Linked DNA regions of Diceros bicornis minor. The protein of the gene in region 2 interacts with the protein of the main gene of each other region in a pairwise test. Links are inferred from orthologs where the notes say so. Each region holds a gene or a part of one and is shown on either strand. Other genes may lie near its edges.

Region 1 (7,580 bases), on a different chromosome or scaffold from region 2:
CAAATTTATGTATATGTCAGTAATTTAAAAAACATTTAAATAAGAATGGAGGACAAACAAATGTTATTTAAAAATAAACAGAAGTGAAAAAATGAAAGAAATGAATATGTTCTTTAATAAACATTTCTGTTAAGAGAAAACACGTTAAAAATATGAATAAATTATAGCTGTATTTGGCTTGTAGAAATATGGGTGACTTTCTACCTCCATCTCATCTACACACTAAATACTCTTCCACAGTGGACAGTTTTTACATTTCAAGCGGGTGAGGGTAGGGAGGGATGAAGAGGAAATAATCTGATTTCCAGGTAATTTAATAAATTTACTTACATGTAATCTACCACCACGTAATTTAATAAATTTACTTACATGTAATCTGCCTCGAAGCTCTCTGTCATTTCTCATTTTCACATAAATTCGCTCATCCAGGCTGAGCCTGATGAGATCCAGGGGCTCTTCTACGGTGTTGGTAGTTTGTTGCTGATAAAAGAAACAGGCTTATGATACAGTACTAGAAAGAGCGTAGTGTTTGAATCATTGCTATGCTGTGACTGTGGGCAAGTTACTTAACCTCTCTATGCCTCAGTCTCTTATCTGTAAACTGTGGATGACAATAATGCCTACCTAACACTGCTGTTGTGAGCCTTAAATGACATATATGAAGCCTTAGAACAAAGCCTGGCACATAGTAAGTGTTATATAAACGAGAGCCAAAACATACATCCACAGGAAGGAGTTACACAGCAAAGTTATCACGGCTGTACTTTGTTCCCTCAAAATCCAAACTGCCTGACCCAATTTCAGGGTATAGTGAGTCACTCTCAGGGACTTTAGCCCTGTCTCAAATATCATTTAGTAATTTGAAAAACATTCACTTAATGACTACCACACACTAGTCAGAACGCCAAGCAGTGAGGAAGGTTTGAGGGAGACCACGAGGTCAGTACAGGGCAGGTTGAGTCTAGGGTGCTGAGTGGCTGGTAAGATGCATATATTTAGCAGGAAGTAGAGAATACTGGTTGAAAGTACTAGCTTTGGAGTCAGGCAGTGTGAGCTCAACTACTGACTCTGACACTTATATGAATTGAGATAAAAAATCATGCCACCTCTAATTCTCAGGTTCCTTGTGTGCAAAATGAAGAAGCCATAATTTTCCTTTCATGATTCTTGTGAGGAATAAATGAGCTAATGTATTTAATTAACGTATTTAAAACAGTACCTGGCAAACAGAAAGTACTTATAAATGGTTCAGGTTATTACTATTAAAGAACTGTTGGAAACAGGTCTCAGAAAGATCAGGGCTAGGATGACTTGGGGTCATCCATACAGAAGGGAGAAGCCAGGAGAGTTGACGAGATTACTGAGCTTCTTCAGGGAGTACATGAGGCCAGGGGAGGAAAGTGACCCAACACTGCAGGCTCTACAGCCTTAAAAGGTTAGATGAGAAAAAAAGCAATCCTGACCTCAATTGGGCCCCACCCCAGTTCAACAGGCGTTTGTTAATGGGCAGCTAACCAACTACTGGATTACAATGACACAGCAGTCAGTCCCTGCTCATTTTAGTGGGGAGAGGCAAATAAATAGACAATTATAATATTGTAAGAATATACTCATGACAGAGCCCTACGGCTCCTTTAGCCTCAGTCTGGGATGCCCACGGTCCACACTTTTCATCCTGTAGCTTTAAATACTGCCTTTTCAAAGAGGCCTCCCTAATCATTCAATTCATTCACTCAATAAGTATTCGAATGTTTCCAGCACTGTTCTAAAACCTGAGAACAGGGGCCTGCCAAGTGGTGCAAGCGGTTAAGTGCACGCGCTCTGCTGCAGCGGCCCGGGGTTCGCCGGTTCGGATCCCGGGCGCGCACTGATGCACTGCTTGTCAGGCCATGCTGCGGCGGCGTCCCATACAAAGCGGAGGAATATGAGTATGGATGTTAGCCCAGGGCCAGTCTTCCTCAGCAAGAAAAGAGGAGGATTGGCAGACGTCAGCACAGGGCTAATCTCCTCACACACACACACAAAAAAGTAAAACCTGAGAACAGAATAGTGAATAAAACAAAATTCTTGCTCTTAAGGAACTCACATTTTAGCGGAGGGAGAGAGACATCAAACAAAGACACATACACTTAATATGAACAGATAACACGCTATGAAGAAAAATAAAGCAGACTGGGCCTAATGCTATTTTATGTAGGTGGCCAGAGAAGCCCTCTTCAATGAGGTGAGGTTTCACTAGAAAGCTGAAGAAGCTGTGGCCTGATCCACAAAGACACCTGAGGAAGAGCATTTTGGGAAGAAGGAAGAGCAGGTGAGAAAGCCTGTGGGACCATCAGTTACTCTCTACACCAGTTCCTTGTTTGTGTCCTCCATACCACATCACAGTGCCTACATAACGCATATATTTATGTTTACCTTTCATCTATCCTCCCCCAGAATATAAGCCCAAGTGGGGACAAGGGTCACGCATGTCAATGCCGGCGTCCTTGGGGCTTAGAACGGTGTCTAAGCAAACGCTGATGTTCACTACGTATTTGCTGAATGAGTAATAACGGTTGCGCTCGATAACGATAACTCCTTACTATCACGCTTTGTATCAGAATCCCGACAGCTCCGCGAGGCAAGCAGGAGTAATTATTCCCATTCTACAGATAAAGGTCAGAATGAAGACAAAGGGAGCGACGAACGGGAGGAATAACTAGTTTTCAGGCGGGCTTCGAACTAGAAAAGATCTCAGGGCTTGAAGCAAAAGTCGCAGGGGGCGCGGTTAGCAACGGGCCGATTAAGGCCATGGTGACCTGGAAAGAGGCGGCACGATCGGCCACCTTCCCGTGAGCTTCGAGAAAGCAACCGTGGTACGCAAAGCCGAGCAGGGCCAGGGCTGGGAGAGGAGAAGCCGCTCCGGAGCGAGCTCCCTAGAAGACACTCACCTGGTCCACGTCGTCCGCCATGTTTCAAACCCTGCGCCCTTCCTTGCCTCTCGCGAGAGCACGCGAGCTCCCTCCTGTCTCCGGAAACGCGAGGACGCAATGCACCGGAAGTGCAAAGAAATCTGTTTTGCACCTCCTTGCTTCCCGCTGTTCGCCTTGGTCTTTTGGGGCTGGGGCGGAGCTTCCTCTGGGGGCGGAGGCTTGCCCTGTGAGGAAGGGGCGTGGCTACGCCTGGCGCAGCCAGGGGCAGCTTCCCGCGGGGTGGTGCGTCACGCGAGCAGCTAGTGTTGCCCGGGCAGCATGGCTCGAAAGCGCGCAGCTGGCGGGGGCCCGCGGCGACGCGGGCTGCGGGGCCAGAAAGCCAAAGGGAAGAGCGTGGCCCGGCGTGAGGAGAAGGAGGCGGGTGAGAGCGAGGCTGAGCCGGGCTTAGAGGGGGATGCCCGAGGGCGGGAGACAGGCCCGGGTCGGGGAGCGGGGAGGCCGGCTCCTGGAGGTGGGGGGCCGAGGAGACCGCGTTACCGGGGCCAAGGGAGGCAGGCGCCGCCCAGGTCCTCCCCACGAGGAGTGATGCGCCCTCAGCGGCTCCCCTGGAGCCCGACCCCATGGGAGCTGCCCTGCGTAGCCTCTTTCCTGCTCCCTGTTGCCCACAGGACAAAGTCCGGCCTCCTGGCGGATGCCGAGGGCTGAACAGGGGAAAGGCAGTGCAGTTATTTTGTGTCCCCAGAAGACGGATGGACCAGGACGTAGAGTGCAGTAGTGTGCTGACTCCCAGAATATCTTCAGCTAAGTCTCACCCCAGAGTTCCAGATTCGGATCCAACCTGACTGACTCCTCCACGTGGATATCCAATAGACGTCTTATATTTGTCATGGGCAAAGCAAAACTCTTGATTTTTTCCCCTGTAAGCCTGTTCCTTCCCCGCCTTTTCCCATCTCAGTAAATGATGCCTTCACCTGCTTGTAAAAGCAGACCCCTGGTTTTCCTTACACGCACACATCCTGTCAGTCAGCGAGTCCTGTCAGTCAAACCTCTGAACTAGATCTCCACTCTCTCCACTTCTCTTTATTTCCGTGGCCACAGCCTTTGTCCAAGCTACTGTCACTTCTCAGTTGAAGGACTGCGGTCACCTCTTTACTGGTCTCCCTACTTCTTTTCATTCCTCTGCAGTAGTTCTCCACTCAGCAGCCCAAACCATCTTTAAAAAAAAAAAATCAGATCATGCCATGCTCCTACTTCAAACCCTTTGTGGCTTCCCGTTGCTCTTGGTGTGAAATCCAAATTCCTCACCATGGATTACAAGACCCTACATGATATGGCTGCTGCTACGGCTCCTGTTGTCTCCTACCACTCTTCTTTGCCAGATACTCTCATTGGTGGCCTCCTTTCTGTTCCTCAAACATGCCATGTTATTTCTCACCTCAAGCCTTTGCCTTTGATGTTCCTTCTGCTTAGAATGTTCTTCATGGCTTTACTGTGCCTGATTTCTTCTATTCCTTTAGGTGTCAATTCAGACACTCCTTGAGCGTCCTTTCTAAGGTGGTCTTCCCGGGATACTCCCTATCACACAGGCCCTCAACGCCCCTGTCACCGTCTGTAATGATCTTCTTAATTTATTTGCTTCCTTTTGATTGCCTGTCTTACCAGACTTTAAGCTTCATGAAAGCATGTCTTATTTTTTGCAGTATCTTATCTTGTCACTCTCCCCATATACTAAGTGCTCAATAAATATTTTAAATAATTGCAAAGTGCATGCTGTGGAAAGGATTTCTGGGCTTCCTGAGATAACTGGGTAGAAGGTTAGGTAACCAGCAAGGACTCAGACACTAGATTCAACAGTTCTGTGATTCTGTATATAAGTTCGTCGTCCATTAGGAAATAGTCAAATGGTAACAATTTTTAAACTTAGAAGGTGATTTACCTCACAATGAGTTCCATTTTATTCATTCATTTACTCATTCAGATAACATTTTCTGAGTACCTACTGTGTGCTGTACATGGGCTAGGTGACATGGGGGAGAGATTTCATGGAGGAGCTTAGAATATAGTAGTGTTGACATTTACAAAAAATATCCAAGGCAGAGTACGCAGGGTCTGATATTGGAGAAGGTGCAAGGCTTTGTGGCTTCTGAAGGAATAATCAAGTTTGACTGGAGAGACTGAGGTGTGCTCTCTGGAGGAGTTATGTGTGATCTGGGATTTAGGATGGGTAATATTCAGCAAATGGTCGTGAGAGGGGGTTGTATTCTAGTCAGAGGGAATGCGTTCTGAATATGTGGCAATTCAAAAATTAAAAGCATTCCTCCCAGCTAAAACACTTCACTTGGGCACCAGTTTGGTGTAGCTCCAATGCTTGGTAGTTATATGCACTTAGGTAAATTATTTTGGACAAATAACACAGCTTTTCTGAACCTTGTCTGTGAACATACTACTATCTTGCAGGGTGGTTGTGAGTTTTCAGTAAGAGCATATAAGGCTCCTGGCACGGTCCATGTTACATAATCATTCGGGTTAGCTCGTAACAATTCAGCCTAAATATAGTTAAGGATGCCCCCAAGCTTCACTGAAACTGCCAGCCAGCGGAGCTAGCAGTAAGTTCCCAAGGCAGCTTCCGGGAAGAGTTGCAATCTTTGCTGTGGTTGAGGGGAGGAGCAGGCGTGGTTTGGGCTGCAGGTGACACTGATTTGGTGATCATTGAGTGTAAGTTCTAGCAGCACCTCGGGGCATGCAAATGAAGGTGATGCGTGGCTGCTTTCAGCAGTTAGGGACAAAGAAAACATTTCTTCCACATTATTTCCTTGTTTCTATTAGGGCACCTCTAGTTTCTTCATATTTCTTCTCTGTGTTAATGCCTTCATTGATGTAATTCATTAATTCCTTCAACAAATATTTATTGAGCGCCCACTGTTCCCAGGCACTGTTCTAGGTACTGAAGTTATGGTAGTGAACAGAACAGGCAAGGTCCCTGCTCTCATGATGCTTATAATCTTTGGGGAGGAGTAGGTAGGGCAGACAATAAGACGTTAAAAAATAAATTCACATGGTGATAAGAGCTATGAAGAAAATAAAACAGTTGCTGTAATAAAATGGGCATGGGGGTGGGGAAGAAGCAGCTAAGTCAGAATCAGTCGTCAGGGAAGGCCTCTGCAAGGAGGTGACATTTTGAGCCAATTACTGAATGCCCCGATGGAGCCATTCTTAGGAAGTTGTGGGGGAAAAGGCAGAGGGAACAGTAAGTTTCAAGAGTTTCGGGGGGGGGGGTGAGCTTCGCCATTTGGCTGGACACAGTGAGTGAGGGGGCGAGTGGTAGGAATTGAGGTGAGAGAGGTTGTTGGGGCCCTTAGCTTGGAGAACAAGCTAAGGAGTATGTATCTTATTCTAAGTGCTGTGAGATGCCACTGGAAGGTTTAAGCAGGTATTCTTATTAAATCTCAATTGATGACCAAGCCAGCCACAGTGGTAATTCCTGTCCTGCTGAAATAACCATGTTGAGCTCAGGGAGGCTGGTTAGACAGATGAGATAACTCCAGACCTTTGAGTCCTGGAAAATAGCCTCTGGATTCTCTAGGACCAAAAAAACACAGCAAAGGATAAAGGAAAAAACAAAGTCATCCATATTTCTACCATCCAGAAATAACCACCACTAAACAATGGTATATTTCCTTCTAGTCTGTGTTTTTTTATGCAGTAGAAACTCCCTGTAAAAATAACTTTGCCTGCCTAATATTTTATCATATATCATTTTTCTTTGTCTAAAAGATGACTGAATTATATTTCATCGTGTGACTGTACCATAATTAATGATTATCTCATGATTGGTTATTCACATTAGTTTTTAAACTTTTGGATATTATGAATATGAATGATTTTTTTTGATTCACAGTTTTTTGTTTCCAATTCCCCCCCCTTTAACTCCTCTACCTCTCTCTTCAAAGCACAGAAATATACAGCTGTGCCTTATAACCAATCAGATCAGTTTGGTGAGGAAGAAACAGTGTCTGTGAAGTATCCTCCCACTTGGGTTTTTAGATTAGTAAAAATGAAGTATTAGCATCTTTGCTTATTAATAGAGAGTAAAGACCATTGTAAGATCCAGAAATCCTGATTTTAAGGGCACACTACTCAAACCGTCTAGTCAAACCTTTAAGCAGCTTCCGGTCTTGGAATAAGAAATCTGTTCCCCAGATTCTAAATAAGTAATTTTGAAATATTTTGTTTTTCAAAATTTCTCCTTATTTTTTGTGTCTGTGTTAAAATGGCTAAGACATAGGAATGCATAAATTCTTTCTTTTAGAAAGCATCAGTGATTTTATCTACATTAACACAATGCCCATAATGTGAAATTTATTTAAATTAAAGTATGATTTATGGGGCCGGCCTGGTGACATAGCGGTTAAGTGTGGATGCTCTGCTTCGGGGGCCCGGGGTTCGCAGGTTCGGATCCCAGGCATGCACGACACACCGTTTGTCAGGCCATGCTGTGGCGGTGTCCCATATAAAGTGGAGGAAGATGTGCATAGGTGTTAGCTCAGGGCCAATCTTCCTCAGAAAAAAGAGGAGGATTGGCAGATGTTAGCTCAGGGCTGATCTTCTTCACAAAAAATTAAAAAAATAAAAAAAGTAAAGGATGATTTTATTTAGATTAAAGGGAGA
Region 2 (7,221 bases):
TCCCCGAGTTTTACTTAGAATATTCTTGTCCCAAATTCTCCATTCATCTAGAGATGAAATTTCCTCCTTTACGGGCAAAGTCTATCTCTTTTACTCTGAGCTCACTTGATCATCAGCCTTAATTATGTAAAATATGGCCCAGACCTAGGAATAATTAAAAAAACCACTCTAGGCAACTAGCACGGATGCCTTAACATCCACATTGCAGAGTTTCTGTGTTTTACACATTGGCGAGATCTCAGAACCTTACAATCCTAATATCTTGGTGTTATGGTTCCCTGCACACAAAAGATTGGAAGCAGCAAATTAAAAGTAGAACATAGAGAAAAAAGTAAAGTACAGGCTTGGGGTGAGGTTTATAGTGAGAATTGGTGGTAGAAAGAATAGCTTTAACATTTTCACGGTTATTTGGTTTTATAAATCTTGTTCACACTTCAAACCCACTAACTCAAATCTTAAAGAAGTGGTTCTCAAGGTTCGCTACACATTAAATCACCTGAGGACCCCCTTAAAAAAAAATGTAATGCTTAAGCCTCAGTCTCAGAGATTCTGGTCTAATTGGTCTGGGGTGGGGTCCAGGCACAGGTATTTTATAAAAGCTTCCTAGGTGATTCTAATTAGCAGCCAGGGTTGTGAGCCACTAGCTTAGTGGTTCAGGGCCATTCATTGTAGGGCCCAGAGGCCTGGATGCCTACGTAGCCCTGTATAGGCTCTTTACAGTGTGCTACAATCAAGGTTAGGATGACATTGGTACCAGGAGTTTCTTTTAAGAGGAGAATGCTTTATATATTAGAAATGATTTTGACAGAAAATAAAATAGCCTAGAGCGAAATGATACAGAAACGAATGTCCAACTCTTGTGTCATAGTTAGAGAAATCTAAAGGGAGCTGGTGGAATAAGGCAGACACCCACCATCTCTCTCCTGATCCTCCCCCTGTAGACCAATGGGATCTTGTTACAATGCAGATTCTGACTCTGTAGGTCTGGGGAGGGCTCGAGACTTTGCAGTTTTCATGAGCTCCAGATGATGCTCCAGGGACCATACCTAGGGCAGCAAGGCTGTAGTTCACACTGATGGCCATGACTCACCCTCGAGCCCCTTCTTTGGAACCCAAACAAGAAGGATGGCTTCCTCACTCTCGAAGAATGAATTCCATTGGGGTCCTTAATATCCAGAATCACTCTGCTCAAAACCATAGGCTTTCCTGAACTAATGTCATGAGTGTATCCATCTCTTCTCTTAATCGTTCCCTCCTCCCACTAGGCAACTTTATCAGGGGATCAGGGACTGTTGAGTTAGAAATGGGCTTAGAGACCATAGAGCTCGGCCCATTCATTACAAAAGCTTGGCAACGAGGCTGAGATGGCAAAGGGTGGCATATTTCACAGGTGAGAGTGGCAAAGTCAAAACTGGATCCAACTCAGGAGAAGAAAGCATCAGTTAAGGATTCTAGTAAAAAAATCAGTCAAAAATAATTGCTTTGTATTACTTTCTACATGCAACATCCGCTTGATTATCTCCATGGAGCTTGCAGACTAACAAAGAGTCAGAAAGGAATATACGACTCTAAAGCTAGGCTGACTGCCCTCAGAGCCCTAAGATGGGGCAGATAGCATGCTGGAGAGGCTCCCCTGCCTCTGAGACCACACAGCAGCTATTGTTTCCCCTCTCATGGAATTTCCATAAAGAAGGCTCAAGGCCTCCACAGAAGCTGCCCAATGAATTCCTCAGTCATCCTTATTTCACTTTTCATTTTTTGGAACTCCTTCTCAAATGATTTTCCAAATCCTACAAAGAATGACATATACTCTTGCTCAATATTAAGAAACCCTCATGTGAAAATGAAGAAATATAACATTCTTTCAAAGTAGGGGGGATCATCTTCCCAGGACATTCAGAAGGGAATCCAGCCAAATGGGTCTGATTCTTGCTCCATTATTTGTTTCTTTGTGCTGCTTAGAAAAGCAAAACAAGCGCTAATGAAATGGACAGGCCCAGTGGCATTCTGGATCCTGGAGCCATCTATGTGGCTGGGTCAGTTGGCCACACTGGCTCCTGGGTGCCCCCTTCCCTTGCCACAAAAGGCCATCCCAGAGGCACTGTTTAAGCTGGACTTGTTAATCATTTCTGACCTCAAAGCTCAGGACTCGGCTGAGACGTCTCCAACAGAGCATATTACCACAGTATCTTGCTCCCATTGGCTGTCTGGGTCTGGAATTAAGACCCATCCACAGGGAAATCACCCTGAAAGCCACAAGTCTGAATATCAAATACAAACACCACTAGGGGCTGCACTGGCAAAGAGGTTTGCTGGGCTCCTGTCTCCTCCCTCCACTCCCAACCTTACTTGGCTTTTGTCTTCTATTTTGTGTTCCTGGTAAATCCAATTATATGTCTATTACTGTAGGCCACCTCCGCACCTTGTTGGGAATTAGGCTGTCTGGATAGGCAGAGTAGCAGATACATTCCTTTGCTATCAGGGGATCAGGTGTTAGGCTCATTGTCACTTTCCTGACGTTTGAAAAGATCAATTATTTTCTTAGTGCCTAGTCAGAGAGATGGGGAAGAGCTGGAAGGCTAGGCAGCAGCAGCGGTGATGTTTGAGCAATGATGCTGAAGCTCGTTTACAAGTTTCTCATTGTACTTTATTTTCTTAATTGCCTTAATGCGCGTGTGTTACTCCAAAATGAAGTGAAATTGTTTTCCTTATTTGCTGTAATTTACAGAGAGGTTTGATCATGTAACCCAGGGACTTCAAATCCATTGATCTTGGGGTAGAGGGAGGGGTTTCTTTTTAAGTATTCCTTTTGAACCATGTTTTCACTAATGAATTCAAAGCCTATAAAGGGAAAAACCCATGTTTCTTCACCACCAAGTTTCACAATAGCTATTAGATGACCACAGCATCATCAAAGCCGTGGAAAATACATGTCTTGGGTGTGGGAGGGGGCGGGGGCTTCAAGAGTTGCACTTTGCCAAGGAAATTGATTCTGACACCCAAATCCACAGGCTGAAGGTGATGCTGTGAACCTGGCAAACACCAGGCCTGGTTCAGGTTTGCATGGATTTCTTCTGATCCCACAAGGTGTGGCGGGGGGCCCTGGCTCTGCGTCGTCTGGCGTCAGCTGTGAGTTCCAAGCAGAGGCTCGGAGTGCCGGTCTGGGGTGTGGCTTGACCAGCTGACTCGGACAGTGGGTCTGGGCGTCAAGGGGAGAGAAGGACGCTGGTGCCTCAGACAGAAGAAAGGACCAAGATACAGAACAGGGTACCTCCCCAGCAGTGGGGAATGGGAGGGGCGTGGAGGTGAGGCTGGCTGGCTGGGGTCCTTAAGGAAGTCCAGGGTCTGTTGGGCTGTGCCTGCGCTCCTAGACGCTGCCACGGTCCCAGGACATAAGTCTGGCCAGTGCTCAGGGCCAGCTCTGGACACTGCCCGGTCGCCCCACGTGCCACGCGCCCGCCCATCCTGCCTCGCGCCCAGCCCACGCGCCCCGCCCCACTACCTCGCGCCCCGCCCCACTACCCCGCGCCCCGCCCCACTACCCCGCGCCCCGCCCCACGTGCCCCGCGCCCCGCCCCACTACCCCGCGCCCCGCCCCACTACCTCGCGCCCCGCCCCACTACCCCCACGCCCCGCCCCACGTGCCCCGCGCCCCGCCCCACGTGCGCCGCGCCCCGCCCCACGTGCGCCGCGCCCCGCCCCACGTGCCCCGCGCCCCGCCCCACTACCCCGCGCCCCGCCCCACTACCTCGCGCCCCGCCCCACTACCCCCACGCCCCGCCCCACGTGCCCCGCGCCCCGCCCCACTACCCCACGCCCCGCCCCACGTGCCCCGCGCCCCGCCCCACGTGCGCCGCGCCTCGCCCCACGTGCCCCGCGCCCCGCCCCACTACCTCGCGCCTCGCCCCACTACCCCGCGCCCCGCCCCACGTGCCCCGCGCCCCGCCCCACGTGCGCCGCGCCTCGCCCCATGTGCCCCGCGCCCCGCCCCACTACCTCGCGCCTCGCCCCACTACCCCACGCCCCGCCCCACTACCCCGCGCCCCGCCCCACGTGCGCCGCGCCCCGCCCCATTACCTCACGCCTGGCCCTTTCGCACGTCCCACCTCGCGCCCCGCCCGCCTCCCCGCCCCACCGATTGGGGGCGCCCGCACGCGATCCCGCTATAAAGTGTCCAGGCCTTGCGTCCCACACACCAGCGAGAGGCCTGGAGAGGCTGCGGGTCTTGCGGCCTGGACCGCCCGAGGCGCCATGGGCGAGCTCCCGTTCTTCAGGGCGCACACTGCCTTTCACCCGGACCGCTTGTGGATCTGGGAAAGGGCCGTGTATGTGGACGAGAACCAGCGCACTTGGCTGCCCATAACCATCGAGGTATGGCCGCTTCGGGGCCAGGCCGGGCGGGGCAGCATGGGCGTCACCATCCCTGGCCCGGCCTGGGGAGCCAGAGACGTCCCAGGCCGCGCGAGGCCCTCCAGGAGCCCCTCAGAGGCGGCAGGGTGAGGGCGGTGGCGGGAAGGCTCAGAAGGCCTGATCCGCCCAGGGCGGCCAGGGGGCTCACAGATGAAACCACTTTGAGGTGGGCTGTGAAGGATGAGTAGGAGTTCTCCAGTTCGCTGGGAAGGAGGGTGGGGAAAAACACAAAGGCATGTTGGCCAAAGGATGGGGACCCATTGCCTCTGGAGTGTGTGAACATGATCTTGAGTAAAATAGGACTTGTCTGGGTTTGAGGGTCCTAAGCCATAAAATGGGAATAACATCTCTCTAAAGATTCATACACGTGGCTGATTATCAGAATCTCCTTAGGTAAGCCTCAGAAATCTGTGTTGTAAAAGGACCCTCAGACAGATTATGATCACCAATTTTGGGGACCACTGCCCTAGAGTTTGGGTTATTTCATATCTCCTCTATGCTTTGGAAAAAACAAACTTCACAAACAATACAGTAGGATAAAAGCCAGCATTGAATAAATGTTGACTTTGTCTTATGTGTGATGCCTTAAGATGGAGCTTTAGTTAACTTTTTTAAAGAAATATAACTCTCTTACAAGTACTTTCCACCAGAGCATAGATTTCCTCCAAGAAACTTAGGTGAAAAATGTTGAAACTCTTTCCATATATAAATGGAAGAAAGCATAAAAGCAAAATTTAAATACATAATATTAGAACATTTATGTGATATATTAGCAAACAGCAAAAAGTTATTGAGTAGTGCCTGTGTCCCCATTTTACAGATGAGGAAACTTGAGGCATAAAAATGTAATATTGTCCAAAGTAGAACTGCTAGTAGGTAATGGGCTTGGGGTTCCAGGTTCTTAACCACCATCTAAATTTGCATCTTTATTGAAATTCAAATTTTTTATGTATACATATATATACTTTTAAAAATCAAGTTAAATATTTGCTTTTTTTAAGTCAAGTATTTGAAGAAAATTTAAGTGACTATCTTTTTTTAATCTCTGGTTGAGGGGTATCTTCTTCAACATGACACTGAAACCACAGAGTTTTTCACATAATCATTATAAATTCTGCACAAAACATAACCCATTAGCAAACCCATTTGCCTCCTGTAACTGCAAAGACTAGTATTCTTAATATGTAAAGATTTACTTAGCCAGCCCTCGTGGTCTAGTGGCTAAAATTTGTAGTTCTCACCACCTCTGCTGGGGTTCGTTTCCCGGTCAGGGAACCACACTATCCATCTGTCAGTTGTCATACTGCGGTGGCTGTGTGTTGGTGTGATGCTGGAAGCTGTGCCACTGGGATTTCAAATACCAGCAGGGTCCGCCATGGTGGACAGGTTTCAGTGGAGTTTCCAGACTAGACAGACGAGGAAGAAGGACCTGGCCACCCACTTCTGAAAAATTGGCCATGAAAACCGTGTGAATAGCAGTGGAGCATTGTCTGATACAGCACCGGAAGGTGAGAGGATGGTGCAAAAAGACTGGGCAGGGTTCCGCTCTGCTATACAGAGGGTGGCTAGGAGTCGGAATTGACTCGAGGGCACTAACAACAACAAAGATTTACTTAAATCAATAAGAAAAAGATGAATAAGCAAACTAAAAATGGTTAAAGGATATAGAAGACTCTAACAGAGCAAGAATGGTGACTTCCACACTTATACTTTGCAGGATGATCAGAATTATTTTATAATAGTGAGTTCTAATTTATTTCATAGAAAATTTGAAATAACTATTTCCACTTTGGAAAAATAGTCATTGAACAAACAGGAATGCCTAGTTTATATGCCAAGCACGATTCTAGGCTGTGGGGGTTTGCAGTGACTGTGATAAAACCCCTCTACTTGTCAAGCTGACATTCGAGGCCAGTGGTTAGTTGTGTAGGAGAAGGAAAGTGGGATGAGAGGTGATCACGAGTGGTGTGGGGGCTTCAGGCAGGACCCCTGGGAGCTTAATTCGCATTTGCCTGTCATATTTTGCCCATGATTTTATTTGAAACCTTTCTGAACCTCTATTTTAGGCATGCCTCTCATTTATATCTTAGAGTTGGATTTTGCTGAAATTTGTCTTTCTAGACATACGGTTGAGCAGAGACCTGCCTAAAAGAAGGATGTGAGCCCTGTGTAGATCTAGGGGAGAATGTTCCAGGCAGAGGACACAGGTGCCAGAGCTTACTGGGAGTGTGGCACGTCCCAGAAATAGCGAGGGGGCCTGTGTGGCTGCACCGGGGTTGGGGGTGAAGGACAGGATGACAGGAGATGAAGGAGGCAGGGGCCCGGCTACGTGGGCCTGTGGGCTGTGGTAAAGATTCCAGTTCATTCTGCCTGCGATGGGAAGGCGTCGGACGGTGTCGAGCGGGGCAGTGACGTGATTTTTGGATGCACACCCTAGCTGCTGTGCAGAGACTTGATTGTGGGGCCCAAGACGAAGAAGGCAGCAAGTTAGGAAGTTATGGCGATAGTCCAGGCGAGAGATGATAGCAGAGGGGCAGTGGTGGAGATGGCGAAGAGTGGTCTCACCTGATTCTGGGGTCCGGGATATCTTGGGATATATGACAAAATAAAGAAAAATCAGAGAAAATCCATCAGCTGAAATAGCTAAGGAAACCGCATGGGTGAGGAAGCTCAGGGCCCCATGGCGTATCCTAGCAACTAGAAGTTTGTCAGGGAGAAGTGAGCCTTTGGTGGCCCTGTCTGGGTATCTGGACATGTGTGAGTGCTGGTCGTCCTGGCCCAGCCAGCGTCTCTGAGAAGAGCGTGCATGGC
Region 3 (7,216 bases), on a different chromosome or scaffold from region 2:
CAATTGGACAACTCCAATACCTACCTTGATGATCCTGTTACTCTATCCTGTAGCTCCTTCACCTGCCTTAACCCAAACCACTTCGTCTTTATTCTGTATTAGCCACATCCAATCCTGCAGAGCGGCCCCACCTCTGAAATCCTTCCCTGCAATCACAGCTTCCTACGTAGCACAGTGATTAAAAGCTGGCTTCAAATCCTGCTTCTGCCATTTGCCAGTTATGTGAGCTTCGTGATTTACCTAATCTCTCAGGGCCTCAGCTTCTTGCTCTGTAAAACAGGAATATAATATACCTACCTCAAAGACTTGTGAGGATTAACGGAATAATACAGGAAAACCACATAGTAAGTACTCAATAAATGCTCACTATTATAACCTGCCCCCTTTTTTATCGGTACTAAAATTTCCCTTAGATTTTTTGCAACCCATCCTTGAGGGCTCTCTATTTTCCCAGTATACATATTCTCTAGAGCTTTCCTTTTCCTCTCTACCGTAGATGCCAGGGGCTTCCACCAGCACCTTGAATTCACTCTGAATTTGCCCCCCCTGCCTATATCCAACTTGAGGTTAATCTAATTATCCCAAGTTCTACTGGAGAAAATAACATAAATGCAGTGACTATCTCCATTTTACATTGATTATTTCCAACCTTGGCGGCCCTCTCACTACGTCCCTCCATCTTTCACAAAATTACCTTTCTTTCAAGAGGGCTTCTTGTGACACCATTAGATTGGGCTATTTACACTGTTCCATCATTTGCTCTTTAGACTAAGAATCTATCTACCTTATTAGTCATATAGATTTACCTCATTCTTTTTTAAGAGTATCTATTATTAAGTAGTAGTACTATATTTCAACCATTCTACTGATGAGATGGTTGTTTAAAAGATTCTCCTACTAATGGCTTTGTAATTGTTGAATACAATGGCTTCTTTTCCATCTTTATCCTACTTGCCCTCTCTGCAGCATCCGACACTCTTGATGACCTCTTAGCCCCCTCACCCCTCTCCACAAAGCTCTGCTCCCTACGTGCCTACCCCTCTGCCTGCTCTCTCCTACTTTGTGACTCATTCTTGGTTTCTCTATCAGGCTTCTCCCGGACACTTTGCCTCTCACATTTGAGGCTTTCCAGGTTTCTAACCCTTAGCAGTAGTTTTAAATTTTTTTCCATTTTCACTGGGCATCCCTATCCACTCCCAAGCATCAGATAGTTTTCTATTTGCTGATGATTTCCAGATCTATCCAATCACTCCCCCGAATTCCAAATATGAATTTCAAATTGCCTACGGTGCATCCCGACCTCAAGGCCCTACAGGCCCTACAGGCTCAATTTGTCCAGAATTGAACTTATTTCCCTTTTTACACTTTCATCTTCCTCCCACTCACCCCACCCTGACCATCCTTTCCTTGGCAACTGGAGTGATTTTTTTCAAAGCACAAATTGCATGTAATGATCGCTTCTCAGGATATAATGATTTCTTTGCACTCTGCATGCGCTGTCTCGCAGTTCTCTTCTTCCGAGTCGTCCCATGGCTACCTCCTGCTTATCCTTCAGATTGTGGCTCCAGCATCACTACAAAGAGGCCATCCTGACCATTTGAGCAAAAGCAGTGCTCCTCAGCCCTCCTCCAATCACTATCTCATGACCCTCTTTTCTTTGCACATATCACTATCTGAAATTATCTTCTTTGTTTATTTGCTGTGACACTGCTTGCCTACGTTCCTTCTCTAGAATGTAAGCTCCACGAAGACAGGGCTGTGTCTTGTTCCCTGCTGTGTCCCAGGGCCTAGAACACCGCCTGGAACCCAGCAGGACAATCATTGTGTGTGGAATGAATAACTAAACGAACTCCTTATGCTTTAAGAGGGAAAGGTCCTGCTGTGAAATTAAGGACTGAGCAACACATTTAAATCTGAACAGTTCTGTTTGAGTGTGAGGTGTTTCCTTCCCAACTCCCTTACTCCTGCAGTTCATTCATAATCACAGACAGATCATCTGTGAATTACAGGCTGTCTGAACAAAGAATCTCAGGGTGGCAAGTTGACCCCACCCACCACTCTCACCACTAGTTTCCACTAAACCTGACACTGCAATAACCACCACCTTCTATAGAAACCATTCTTGAAGGGAGCCAGGAGTGGAAGCTGGCGGCCACAGGTCAAGACTAGATTTGATTCCAGAACACTGAGAGATGGGTACCCTCTGGTTGGCTCCTCAAGGGATTCGCAGGGATAAAGCGGCTCTGATCTGGGAACCCATCATCCCACATCCTCCCATCTGCATACACTACTAGATATTTTATACACATCCTCTGCAATTCGCTCAACAGGCCCAGCGTGCTGCGTCGCCTTTTTGCAGAAGAGGAAACTGAGCTCAGAGGCACTAGCAAAGGCCCCAAAGACGAGGTCCTAGCACAGGTTTCAAAGCTCAAACTCTATCCACTTGAGCTACTTTATTTCCTAGCTGCCCTCGAGTATCCTCAGTATCCTTCTGGAAAACAAAACTCGAAGCCCGCGCTGGAGGAGTCGGGAGGAAGCACAGAAGGAAAGAGGCCCACAAGAGTAGCACGCGGGGGTCTTCCCAGACCCTCCCCGCTCCCAGAGGTGACTCCTGGTGGCTAGCAGGAGTGGGGACCCGGCACCACACTGGCCTAAGGCTGGAGTAGCGGATACCCGGGCGCGGGGGATGCGGAAGGGGGACACTGGGAAACCGGGTGAAGGGATGTTAAGCGTTGGGTCAGACTGGACGCAGGGAGGGCGGAGCGGGGAGGGGAGGACGGAAGCGATGCTCGCTGGGAGGGAAGACAGAGCAGCGGCCCGCTCTGTCACCCGAATGCATTTCAGGCATTTAATCTAGGAGGGTGCCAAGAAGGGAGGGGAGGGGAGAGCGGGGAGCGCACGGCTCAGGCCCGAAATCCAGAGTTTGCATTTACCACCACGCCTCGCCCGGAGTCTGGCGCCTCCTCGCTGCTCCCGGCCATGTTTCTCCCAGCGAAAGCGGGAAGGACAGAAGGGCGCGGGACGGACCTGGGAGAGGGCTGGGGCTGGGGCTGGGGCTGGGGCCGCCCCGCCCCGGGCCGGCCGGCGGTTAGGAAGCGGCGCGGACCCGGTGCCTGGCGCGGCTCCAGCGCCTGGGCCGCGGCGCCCCCTCCCCCGGCCGGTGCTCGGGGCGCGGGGCGGGGACGCGGGGGCGCGGGGCGCGGGCGGGGCGCGGGCGGGGCGCGGGGAGCAGCTGCGGAGCGGCGCCCGCTCCACCTGAGCGCGGGCCCGGGGCGCGTCCCTCGCGGCCGCCGCCCGCCGCGTGCCCGTCTGCGAGCCCGGGAGCCCCGCCGCCTGCGCCGCGCCCCGCGGGGACCCGGGAGCAGCAGGCTGCCCGCCGCTCGATCTTTCCGGGAGGAGAAAGTGTGCCCCCGTCCCCTGCCTCCCTACGGCTGTCGTCCCAGCTTTCAGGCTAACAATGTCTTGAATCCTTCCTGCTAATTTTTATGCACTTTTTATCCCAAGTAAATCCGTGAACGAGCCTGCGATATAGAAAGTACGGCTGTGGACGAAACCATCCCGGATGTGTTTTTTAAAATCCTTGAACCGCCAGCTAGGAGTTTCAAAGAACATGCGATTGCTTTTACCTTGGACCGTGCCCGCGGTGATAGGATCTGGCCTTTGAAATAGGGCCTTTCCTTAACCGCATTCTGGCCGGGGGAGGCGGGTGGGGGTGGGAGTGTGGGGGGGTGATTTTTACAAATTATCTACTTTACCACTTTTGTAAGAACATATGGTCAGATTTTAATTGTGTCAGGTTGCAGTTTAAGGCAAGTGCTCTCAGATTAGAAAGCCTTCTTTTGTGAATCTTTTGTTAATTCACCTCTAATCCAAGGCTTCTCTCACTGGTTCTTTGTCCGTCCGTCAAGGGCCCTGCTTTCCCTTTATATGTATTCACTCCCCTGGTGTCTGCGATCTCGCCGCATTCTTTGCAGCCTCCCTAGGGGTTTGAAGCCTCGAGCTGAACACATTCTCTGACTCAGGCCTCTCCAGAAGACTATTTTGTTCGTCTTGGAGTTCTGGCACACGGCAGGGAGAGGAATGCTGATTTTGCCTGGTTTGAGGGGAAAGTAGTTATCAGTCAATGTCGTTCTAGGTTGGAAAAATATTAGTCATTTCAGACGTGGCCTTGCTCAGCACCGTTTGTTGTCGGTCTCTCCGAGAAGCCAGCGCCGAGGAAGGAAGACAGCTCCGTGGATGGCTGAGACTGGCTCCCGTAGACGGGGTGACAGTGTTTCCTGGCGCACAGGTGAACGTTTTCTCTCCGTATCTGTCGGAGGTCCTTGTTTGGGGCCATTTTTATAGTCTGCCTCTCACCTCTTTTCCAAAGAGGAAGGACGGTCTTCTGTTTTCATTGTCAGAGACCAAGCCCTAGGAAGCATCTTCACAACCAATGTCACTGAAACTTCCAGGAACTGAAAAGTGCTATCATTGTGGTGATGAGCAAACTTTAGGGTTCACAAGACTCTCTTGAGGAGCCCGCCACCGCCCCCCCGACCCCAGCCGACCCCTGTATCTGGCAGGTTACGGTGGAGAAGCTGTGTGATGGGACTCGGCAATCGGCACTGCCGAGACACTCAGATGAGGGTGATGCGGGCGGTTCAGGAGCCATACTGTAAGGTATCCCACTGGACCGTCTTACTGCAGCCAAGTCAGACTCACCCGTAAGAGGCTCGGTGTGGGTGCAGGGGCCAGATTAGGGGCAAGGGACATCAAAATAAGTTACAGGTGTAGCCGCTATACAGAAGTTAAAAAGCAACAACTGTGGGTTAGCCCAGGCATTTTGAGAGATGTAAGGGAAATAAACGGTTGATAAATCTTTCCTTAGAAAGGAAATGTAAAGCCCAATAGGTTCACGATGAAAAAAATGAAACTTGCTTGAATGACAACAGGAATCTTGTGAATGCACATCCAAGAACATCCTATCTAGACCTATATAGGACATCCTATGAAGACCACAGAATGATGAAAATAGGATTTATTTTATTTTTTTATCTTTTTGATAAGACTTTGTATGATTTGATTTCACTTGGATTCTTTGGACAGCGTTAATGTAATACAATATAATACTTGATATCACAAATCGTATTTGCAAGGACGGGTATCCAAGAATAACAACTCATCTGTCCGGGCTTTATTCTTAATCTTGCATTATGAGGATTTAGAGGCAAAATTCTTTTTAAATCTCAAATTTCTGTTACATGTCTAGTGGAATAGCTTTGGACAAGGATTCCAGTTTTTCTAGTGACAATCCATTTGACCTTAGCCAATGAGGGTAAGCCGATTACATCAATGTAATGTGTCTCAATTTTTTCATCTGTAAATGGGGGCAGTACATTTCCACTCTACCACATATGATGATATTAACATGAGATAACATGCAAGAGAATCCTGTGAAAAATACTATAAAACTGTAAGGTGTTATTAATCTGAGAAGCTGTGAAAATGTATGACTAGAAGTTCATAAAGTCATTTGATGTGAAAATGACAGGGTAATTGCCTTTTTAATATGAGTGTAGGGTGACCAATCAAGGACAGTTATAACCTAGGGACTAGTTGGGGCTGGTATGGGAATGGATACAGTAAAATGAGAAAATTATTAAAATAATGGAATTTTCCATAAAAAGGGATATTTTAGCTCAGACTGTCCATTTTCTGATATTCCTTGGAAGAGCTGTAAGAATAAAGCTGTACATCTTTACAAAGTTAATAACTAGTAAACATACTTGTATTTTTCTGTCATTCTCTTTATTCTCTTTTAGTTGTAGTTTCCCTGCATTTTAAATTCTGAAATTATCTTGTTTTACTACACTGGTGAAAACACAAATATTTATATTTACCTGAGTTCTCCACCTAGCTAAAGACTTTTGTCCTGAAAGTATATACTAATCTTTTGACAGATTGGTATTTCTTTAACTTTTGCCAATAGTAATCGATTATTGAAGGAGCAATTCAATCTATGCACTGAGTTGCTCAGAGCCAGTCACTCAGTGACACTAGATTCGAAATACAAAAGGGCATTTAATTTTTTATGAGTCCTGAAACATGAAAATAAATAAAAAACTCTCAGCCTGGGAATTGTGTTGAAATACATAAACATATGAAACTTAGTGACTCAGATTGTTAGTCACAGAGTCACTGGTTAGAATCTGGATGAAATCCACTATGGACGAGGGCCAGCAATAATGATGGTGACATTTTGCTTTTCCTCAGTGCTGAACAAAATCCTCTGCAAATGTTACAAGTACAAAAGAAAAAGTGGCAAGACACTTTCTTCCAAATATTCAGGCTAAGTAAGAATCTTGCTACCTTTGAGATATATTTTTTCCCTCTACATAAATACAGAAGAAATATAGTTGCAAATAATTGTAACACAAAATGACTTAAGCAAAAGCCTCATTAGTATTCAATTAGCATAGTAAGCCCTCTTTCCTGGCCCCTTGTTTGAAGCAGACTGGATCCAATGTGTAGTCTTAGAGTAAAGGAAATAATGGCTCCATAGTAGTTTTTACAAATACAGGCAGGAGCTACATTCAGAATTATGTTTTGTATTATTACACTTTCATTGGTAATTAACCTTCCACCGAAGAATACACTGCAGGTAAATTTTAGCCTGCTCTTTTGAGGAGGCATGAGTAATATCGACAGTGAGTGCTGGGCTGCTTCAGAGATATCCTCCCGCTATCTCCCCATCTGACCGGAACAGGAATTAGATTGCTTCAGAGTAGAAGAATAATGTGTGCAAGTGTTCCTCCAGATCTCAGAGTCCTGGCAGCCAACCTCAGCTCTCTTGGCCACCATAAAGCAGTCATTGAAAGGACACAGCTGCAGGAATGAGGGGCTAAGCACTAAATAAATCCATAGGGCTGGAGGCACAAGTCATGTACATGACCCTAACACAATGCCTTATGGTTGTGAATGAACGGATTAGCATCTAATGGTGCCGTGGCAGATTATGCAAAATTAATTGGTGCCTCAGCCAGTGCTGAGTTTCTGATGGAAAGTTGTCCACTTCAAGAAAAAAAAGGAGACCTCCTTAGTCGACAAAATCTTTGGCTTGTGTAGTGGGAACACTAAGGAGCAACTGGAATGGGAACTGAGCTGTTTGTTCTCTTAGCTGTACGTGGATTCTCCTCTGATCAGAGTTGATGTACAGCGCCCGCTGGCAACATCCCAG
Region 4 (7,108 bases), on a different chromosome or scaffold from region 2:
CTTTTTCATCTTCTTAATTAACAAGGTGGTTTTCCAAGACGAGTTCCTGCAAGTAGTATTATTTATCATTGCAAAACATGTTTTGTTGCCTGGACTGAAAGAAGATGTTTTTGTGTGGTTTGATTCTATTATTTTCAGTCTTATGATTATCCTTTAATTCCATCCTAACTCACTCCATTTTACTTTAGCAAGAATTATCATATGATAAAGAGTAATGATGAAGGGTAGATTTCTCAAGTAAAATAAACCATAAGTCCCATAAAATACTATTTAAAATAAGACAGGGATCAATTAAATAAATAAGCAAATATTCTATTATTCAAGGATCTATTTCTGGATTATTTGATCTTTTTAATGTTGTTTCTCTGTCCAATTATTTGTATCCAATTTCTGGTCATTTCATTTATTACAAGTCCTTCTTCCACCAGTTGAAAAAATGTTTAAAACTAAAATCTATTGAAAAACACCTTTTTTTTTTTTTTTTGTGAGGAGATCAGCCCTGAGCTAACATCCGCCAATCCTCCTCTTTTTTTGCTGAGGAAGACGGCCCTGGGCCAACATCCGCGCCCATCCTCCTCCACTTCATATGGGACGCCGCCACAGCATGGCTTACCAAGCAGTGCGTCGGGTGCGCGCCCGGGATCCGGGCCAGCGAACCCCGGGCCACCGCAGCGGAGCACGCGCACCTAACCGCTTGCGCCACCGGGCCGGCCCCTATTGAAAAACACTTTTAATACAACATTTAATTTAATTTTATTGTCATTCCAAGGGAAGTGAGTGCTACTATCGCTCATTTTACAGATGAGGAAACTGAGTTTGAGTCATTAAATAATTTTCTCAGAATAACTCTGCTATTAGGTGCCAGAGATAGAACTTCTTGGGTTGAGAGTCCAAGCACTTAAATTGACATAGGCATACCATAAGGTTCAAATTTTTCCTTTTTGGTGCCTGTGAGCTATTCTTAAAATTAAAAAAATGTTGATTGGATGAGATGATTACATTTAGATACTATGAAATTTATTGTGAGATAAAAAAATTACTTAGTCAAACTATCTTCTAGTAACAAACACACAAAAACATTAAAATGGGCATTAAACTCAGTTTTATTTGATTGAAACATGTTATATGAGTGACATAAACAGCGATTGTTTTTCATCAAAGTGTCTATCAATTGCCAACACGTCAGATATTCCCTCCTACTTGTGGCCTTTTACACAATGACAGCAAATGCTTTGGAGGAGAACGGAGATAATCTAAGCCTAGACTAGAAAACCCTGGTTTAGCATCTCAGTCATTTCCATTTCCCCTAGACTTTGCTTTTAGTGGGTGGGATTTAAAAATTCAATGTTAAAACTTCTACTCACGATATAGTCTCCAGATGGCTGACTAAAATTTATTCCATCACCTTGGGGTTATTCAAGTTTCCTACAAAGCAGAACTGGAGGTGGGGGCAAACAAGCAAGTACCTAAAATAGCTTGTTTGAGGATATAAATACTTACGTGTATCAGAACCTATGGTAGAATTGTACTCTTTAAAATAGGAATATGGATGTTAACAAAAGATAAACACATGTTAAGAGCCTGTGGATGTGTTCTGGGGTTATTTTCTTCCTTGTTCATCAAAATTTGCATCTAGGAAAGCCATAACTCCTGGTTAAGATGCCTAAGGAGTTCTGGTTGACATTTCTTATTTTCACCAGTAGCAAAGACTTATAATATCTCCAAGGATACTGGATTGACTTTTAGCTAAGGTAAAAGATGTCTTTGAGAGGATGTACATTTTAAAAGACAGAAATGCACACCATTTGAAAAAAATTATAAGTATTTCTAGGAAAATCTGCTTAAGTCTCTTTGATTGAACACTCATGGGCGGAATGAGAAGAGTGTAGGTTTACCTGAGCAATGTTATATTTAATACCCATCATAGGTTTATATGATTAACCAAAGGCAGATACTGATTTTATGTTTTAATGAGTATAACTGGGGAAAAAAACGCCACATAACTACAAAGGAATTTGTAAAAATACAAAACTAAACAAATCTTTATTATAGCGATTGAGAAATTCCAAATGGTTCTGAAGACAGAATTCACGGTCACTCTTCTACCAATGCCTAATGTGATAATACTTAAATGCCTAACCTTGCTTAGAGAAGAAATATTTAATTAGTAAATGGCCTTTATCTGGCCTTGAAGAGCACCTCCTCTGCAAACCACATGCTCCCTAGCTAATAATTCATTTCTTTGTGTCCTAAACATGATCTCCCCATTTGGCCAAATGGATTATTATTTCAGCTCTTTTTTTCCTCCTCGATTCACCCTTACCTATCCACACACCATCTCCACAACACTTATACCTTACTTGGTCCCTTGTCTTATCACTGTGGCTTTGCAAATCACTTTATCACTTACAATATCTTCCCTTTTCATCATCCATTCATATGATTCCTTCCTTTAAAATTTAACTCTCTTTGAGAAATATATGATTCTCTTCCATTCCCAACTGCTTCATTCAAGCCAGCTTTTAGGGGTTTACTAACTTGGATTTGTTGGTATGTTGCCTTGAAATAAGTGCTGTCAACCTTTTTCACGTGTATCTGTTGTATCTCCCAAAGGAGATTAGAGTCTTTAAGAGAATGTCTTCCAAAAATTCCATCCACCACAAGCACCTAGAACTTCATGTTCATTCCACTCACTCCACAAAAAGGTGCTGAAGGGCTGTTGATTAATTGACTGACTGGCCTACTGTATTTTCTGTTCCAGGGAAACGAGTACAACATAATTTGAACATCTTTTACTCCTTTAGAAGAATTAAAAAGTGAAGATTGCTAAATTGTAACAATTTTCACATTGCTGGATTATTTAAATTGATACAGAATGCATGATGGCCACAGAAGTTATGTCCTTCAGGTGAGTATGGTGGTGAAGTCAAATATAAGCCATACATATATTACTTAATTTAAGAAATCAAATAGGATTTTTGGAGTTAATGTGAAGTGAGATGTTGTTTTAAGTTCATTTTTAGCTCTCAAACAGATTAGCTAGAAAGCTTCACTTGAATACCAAAGCCTACAGTAAAACTCATGGTAAATTTGAAAATACCTAAAGACAGACGTGATGTAAACTTTAAATTCATGCTACACTTTTACAATAAATCCTACGAGTATCTATGGATAACTAGAGCATTAGAAAATAAATATAGGAGATAGGGTGGCGGGGAGGTGGAGAGAGGTCTCTAGATAGCCTAAGATCCAAGGGTGGCGGGGGTCGGTTTGTTTTCAATCCATCTGCGGGTCGCTGATTAGATTCAGCACGCTGGCCAGCTCCCCGGTCCGCCGGGTTTATTGGCCTAAGTGAAAAAAGCAGGGGAAAGGAAGGCACCATCTGCTGCTTTGAATTAATAGATAACCGAGGAGCAGAGATGAAGACAGTGCAACAGAGTCAACGCATTAGATGGTGATGCCGCTGAGTTCTTGGGGTGTCTTTGTCTGATCTGGAGGTCCCCCCTCCTCCACCCAGATCTCCCAGCGAGCCAGAATGGAGGAAGGGCTGAGCAATGAGAAACCCTTCTATTTCTCTGGTAGGCTTACCTCAGCAGAAAGTATTCCCAGTTCTTGGAATTGAAGAATGTTCATAATAGCTTTTGCGGAGGAGACAAGGGCGAGGGTTCTACTCAAATAGTTGAGCTGCATGGTCGATACATCAATCCGCTCAAAATTTGATTCACTTTTATTTTAATGAGAGTGGACGTATGTAAAGTAAATTGCTGGAATCAGAGTTTACACAGGTGGGATAAACACTCTGCCCAGCCCCACTGCCCCCACGCCCCAGGTGTGAAGAAACCTGGGGACAGGAGATACACTCTTGCTTTCCCGTACGGGATCTCGCCGACTTCCTCTTAGTGAGACCTCTAGATTTAGCGTCTCCAGACAGACAGTCCACTCTACGCTGACAAAAAGTCATCACTGGTTTGTCTATTTCTTCCTCCCCCAAGAACTTTTTGTCTGCGGGAGGAGGAGAGAGGTCCAGGCAGTGAGACCTGGGGATCAAGGAGGAAATTATCCACAAAAGGGAGGGGCTGATGGGGGTGGGAAGGCGTTCGGGTCAGTACCGAAGCTCTGAGACTTTGCGGAGGCTCCGCGCTCTCCCCCCTCCAGCCCTCTGCAGCCACCCTTTACGCCGCGGACACGGGAGAGTTAAGCCAATAAACACGTAAGCGCCGCTCCCTCCCCAATCGGCAAGATGCCTCTTCGGCTCTTGGCTGCATCGACAGCTTGCAACACTCGGCATCTTTTCTGGAGGCGCCTTCTTCAGCGGCTGCAGATGGCATCCGGCTGCGGGCTTGGGGCTCGCAACTGATTCTCCCCCTTGCCCACCTCGGGTCCACGGACACACCTCTCCCTGTCCCTCCTCCCCTCGCTCCTGGGTCTGAGCCCAGCTCCAGATCGCCAGGCGGAAGAAGCAGTCGCGGCGGCCGAGACTGAGCAGCAGCGCGCTCGCTCCCCGAATTCGGGAGAAGAGCCCATCCGGGAGAGCCGACTCCCAGCTGCCTCCGGCGCCCCCCACCTTTTGCACCCCAAGCCGGGGGCTCCAAGGACCCCCTTCCCCAAACGCCACCATGCTGGACCCTTCGTCCAGCGAAGAGGAATCGGATGAGATCGTGGAGGAGGAGAGTGGCAAGGAGGTGCTTGGCTCGGCCGCGTCCGGCGCGCGCCTGTCTCCCAGCCGCACCAGCGAAGGCTCGGGCGGCGGCGCCGGGCTCGGAGGCGGCGGCGGTGCTGGCGCCGGGGCCGGAGTGGGAGCCGGTGGTGGCGGGGCCAGCGGCGCGAGCGGCGGCGGCGGGGCCGGTGGTCTGCAGCCCAGCAGCCGCGCCGGTGGCGGCCGGCCCTCCAGCCCCAGCCCGTCGGTGGTGAGCGAAAAGGAGAAAGAAGAGTTGGAGCGGCTGCAGAAGGAGGAGGAGGAGAGGAAGAAGAGGCTGCAGCTCTATGTGTTCGTGATGCGCTGCATCGCCTACCCCTTCAACGCCAAGCAGCCCACCGACATGGCTCGCCGGCAGCAGAAGGTAGGTGCGCCTGCGAGGCCCAGGGAGCAGCGCCGGGACGCCGCCAGGCGGGCGGGGCGAACAATAGGAGCTGGCGGTGCAGCTGGCGAGGAGGAGGAGGAGACCGCGCCCTGGGGAAGGGGCTACGAGGCCCCCTCTCCGCGGCCAGGCCCGGCCCGGCCCAGCCCAGCCCAGCCCGGAGCGCGCCAGGAGCTACCTGGGACCGGCGAGGGGCCTGGAGCGCAGTGCCGCGTGCTGGAGCCTCCCTTCCCTGGAGCGCCGGGGAGCAAGGCGGGCAAGTCCCGCTTTGTGGCCCAGGAGGCTCAGGGAGTGACTTGCAGCCCACAGCGCCCAGAAAGGCCTTGCTCGTTTCCTGGGCTCCCAGCACTCTCCAGCGGCGGGCGGCTGCGCTCAGCTCCGGGCCCGCCCTCCTGGGCGTGCGCTCGGCGGGCGGGGGCACCCGGCAGGTGGGGGCGCCGATGTGGAGCGAGGAGAGCGCCTCCGAGCTGCGCTCAGGCTAGCCTGAGCAGAGAGCAACCCCAGGGGCAGGCGGAAGGAAGCAAGCCTGGAAGGCGAAGCTTCCAGTCACACTGCGAAGGGCACCCTCCTCCCCTGCCCAGGTCGGCTGATCACCGACTAGGGTTGCCCAGGGGTCCTCGGGCACCGCTTCCCTCTGGCCGGGGTTCCTTCCGATCTCCCTTCCCTTTCCTCACTGACCCCAGAGCAGGGGCACGCCCTCTGGTCCTGCCGGGGTCAGCCCCTCTACCTTCCTCCCTTTGACTCTCTTCTCTTCCCAAGGTGACTTCGCCGCCACCTTCTGGCTCTCCGAGGCCCTCCAAGCCCCGCCGCTGCAGGCTTGATAAAGTGCAGCTGCAAAAAGCCTCACAATTATAAACATCAAAAGCTTTTTGTGTCTGAGGCTGGGGCAAGGCTGAGGCGGCTCCGGGCTGCCTTTGATATGAAAAAAAAGCATCTATTTCTATCAGCTGTTCTCTAGCCAGAGAAAGGAGGGGGCGGTTACTAAAAGATGAGAGGCAGTGGTGGGGGTCCAGAAGAGAAGGGGTCAGGTACCCGTTGGAGTGAGTGAGTTAAGAAAGTCAGCCTTCTATTTTGTCTCTTTTAAATGAATCTGCAGCTCTTGGGCTCTCAGAAAAGCCAGTGAAGCCCCCAGAGGGGAGTGCGAGAAGCCAGCTCTAACCCCATCGAGGTGGGGTTTCTTAAAAGTGAATTTCTCCGTTGCTGTCATTTAAGACTGAATTATATGTTGCTGTAGTCGGGTGTTAGGTTTTCCTATATTTATCCACCCTTATCTTGAGTTAGCACAGATTTCTCTGTTTGTTTTGCTAATATGTGTACACACACCACCCAGCACTGGTGGTTTATTTCAGCTATCACAAGCCTGCCTATCAGTTTTATTAAAAATAAAACTCATTTCCTGGTTGAGAAGTAGCAGGTGGGCTACATACTCCACTCTCCACCTGGGTCAGTGGCCCCTTGCCTTTTCAACCTGTATATTGGACTACACAGAGCAAAAGCATCCTCAGAGCAGTAAGTTTTTTGGATACTCCTTTAAGGTTGGGTGTTGCGTCCACAGAATCTGATATTTCCAATTTCAGCTTGGAATTATGATAATTGTGTCTTTATGGCAGGGGAAATTCCATCTCCAAAATCTATCCTATTAACAGCACCAACCCAAGATGTCCTATTCCTTTGGCAATGAAAACTGTTGTGACTTAAAGAGAAAATAAAAAACAAACTTCCCTTTATCAGTCGAAGGCTCTAGAGCTGTGTCATTTAAGTGGATGCTTAAATCCAGCACTAGAATGGGTAAAGAAGTCTATTCTCGCAGAGACACCCTTCTTCTAAACAGAACCTTCAGCCACCAGGAAAGATCATTGCTAGGCTAAGTTTCTCTGATCCGATTGTATGTTTTACCTGAATCCATTGAAAGCTGTGGTTTTTGAGGAGTAAATGAGTTCTGTTTTTACACATGACCTTAACATCAGAGAGACTCCAGGACAGATTAATAACACTAGCATTTGGTCAAACTATTTTTAGTTATTGCTGCA

What was found.
Region 1: the proteins of TCL1A (region 2) and LSM3 interact in binary tests that used the Homo sapiens proteins (3 or more experiments, as listed by UniProt). The two-hybrid records come from large-scale screens. The link is inferred for Diceros bicornis minor from reciprocal best matches to the Homo sapiens genes TCL1A and LSM3.
Region 3: the proteins of TCL1A (region 2) and PRTFDC1 interact in binary tests that used the Homo sapiens proteins (3 or more experiments, as listed by UniProt). The two-hybrid records come from large-scale screens. The link is inferred for Diceros bicornis minor from reciprocal best matches to the Homo sapiens genes TCL1A and PRTFDC1.
Region 4: the proteins of TCL1A (region 2) and CADPS interact in a two-hybrid assay, tested with the Homo sapiens proteins (3 studies listed by BioGRID and IntAct). The two-hybrid records come from large-scale screens. The link is inferred for Diceros bicornis minor from reciprocal best matches to the Homo sapiens genes TCL1A and CADPS.

Annotation. Positions count from the first base shown.
Region 1 is NC_080741.1:88,655,361-88,662,940, forward strand, and holds the start of LSM3 (U6 snRNA-associated Sm-like protein LSm3), read right to left. Parts: upstream 3,015-7,580; 5' UTR 2,952-3,014; coding exon 2,931-2,951; intron 481-2,930; coding exon 370-480; intron 1-369. Other genes in the region: XPC (DNA repair protein complementing XP-C cells), read left to right, coding at 3,231-3,333. UniProt on the Homo sapiens protein: Plays a role in pre-mRNA splicing as component of the U4/U6-U5 tri-snRNP complex that is involved in spliceosome assembly, and as component of the precatalytic spliceosome (spliceosome B complex).
Region 2 is NC_080763.1:41,264,905-41,272,125, reverse strand, and holds the start of TCL1A (T-cell leukemia/lymphoma protein 1A), read left to right. Parts: upstream 1-4,218; 5' UTR 4,219-4,251; coding exon 4,252-4,371; intron 4,372-7,221. UniProt on the Homo sapiens protein: Enhances the phosphorylation and activation of AKT1, AKT2 and AKT3. Promotes nuclear translocation of AKT1. Enhances cell proliferation, stabilizes mitochondrial membrane potential and promotes cell survival.
Region 3 is NC_080775.1:24,169,879-24,177,094, forward strand, and holds the start of PRTFDC1 (phosphoribosyltransferase domain-containing protein 1), read right to left. Parts: upstream 3,018-7,216; 5' UTR 2,982-3,017; coding exon 2,934-2,981; intron 1-2,933. UniProt on the Homo sapiens protein: Has low, barely detectable phosphoribosyltransferase activity (in vitro). Binds GMP, IMP and alpha-D-5-phosphoribosyl 1-pyrophosphate (PRPP). Is not expected to contribute to purine metabolism or GMP salvage.
Region 4 is NC_080741.1:62,199,090-62,206,197, reverse strand, and holds the start of CADPS (calcium-dependent secretion activator 1), read left to right. Parts: upstream 1-4,107; 5' UTR 4,108-4,616; coding exon 4,617-5,060; intron 5,061-7,108.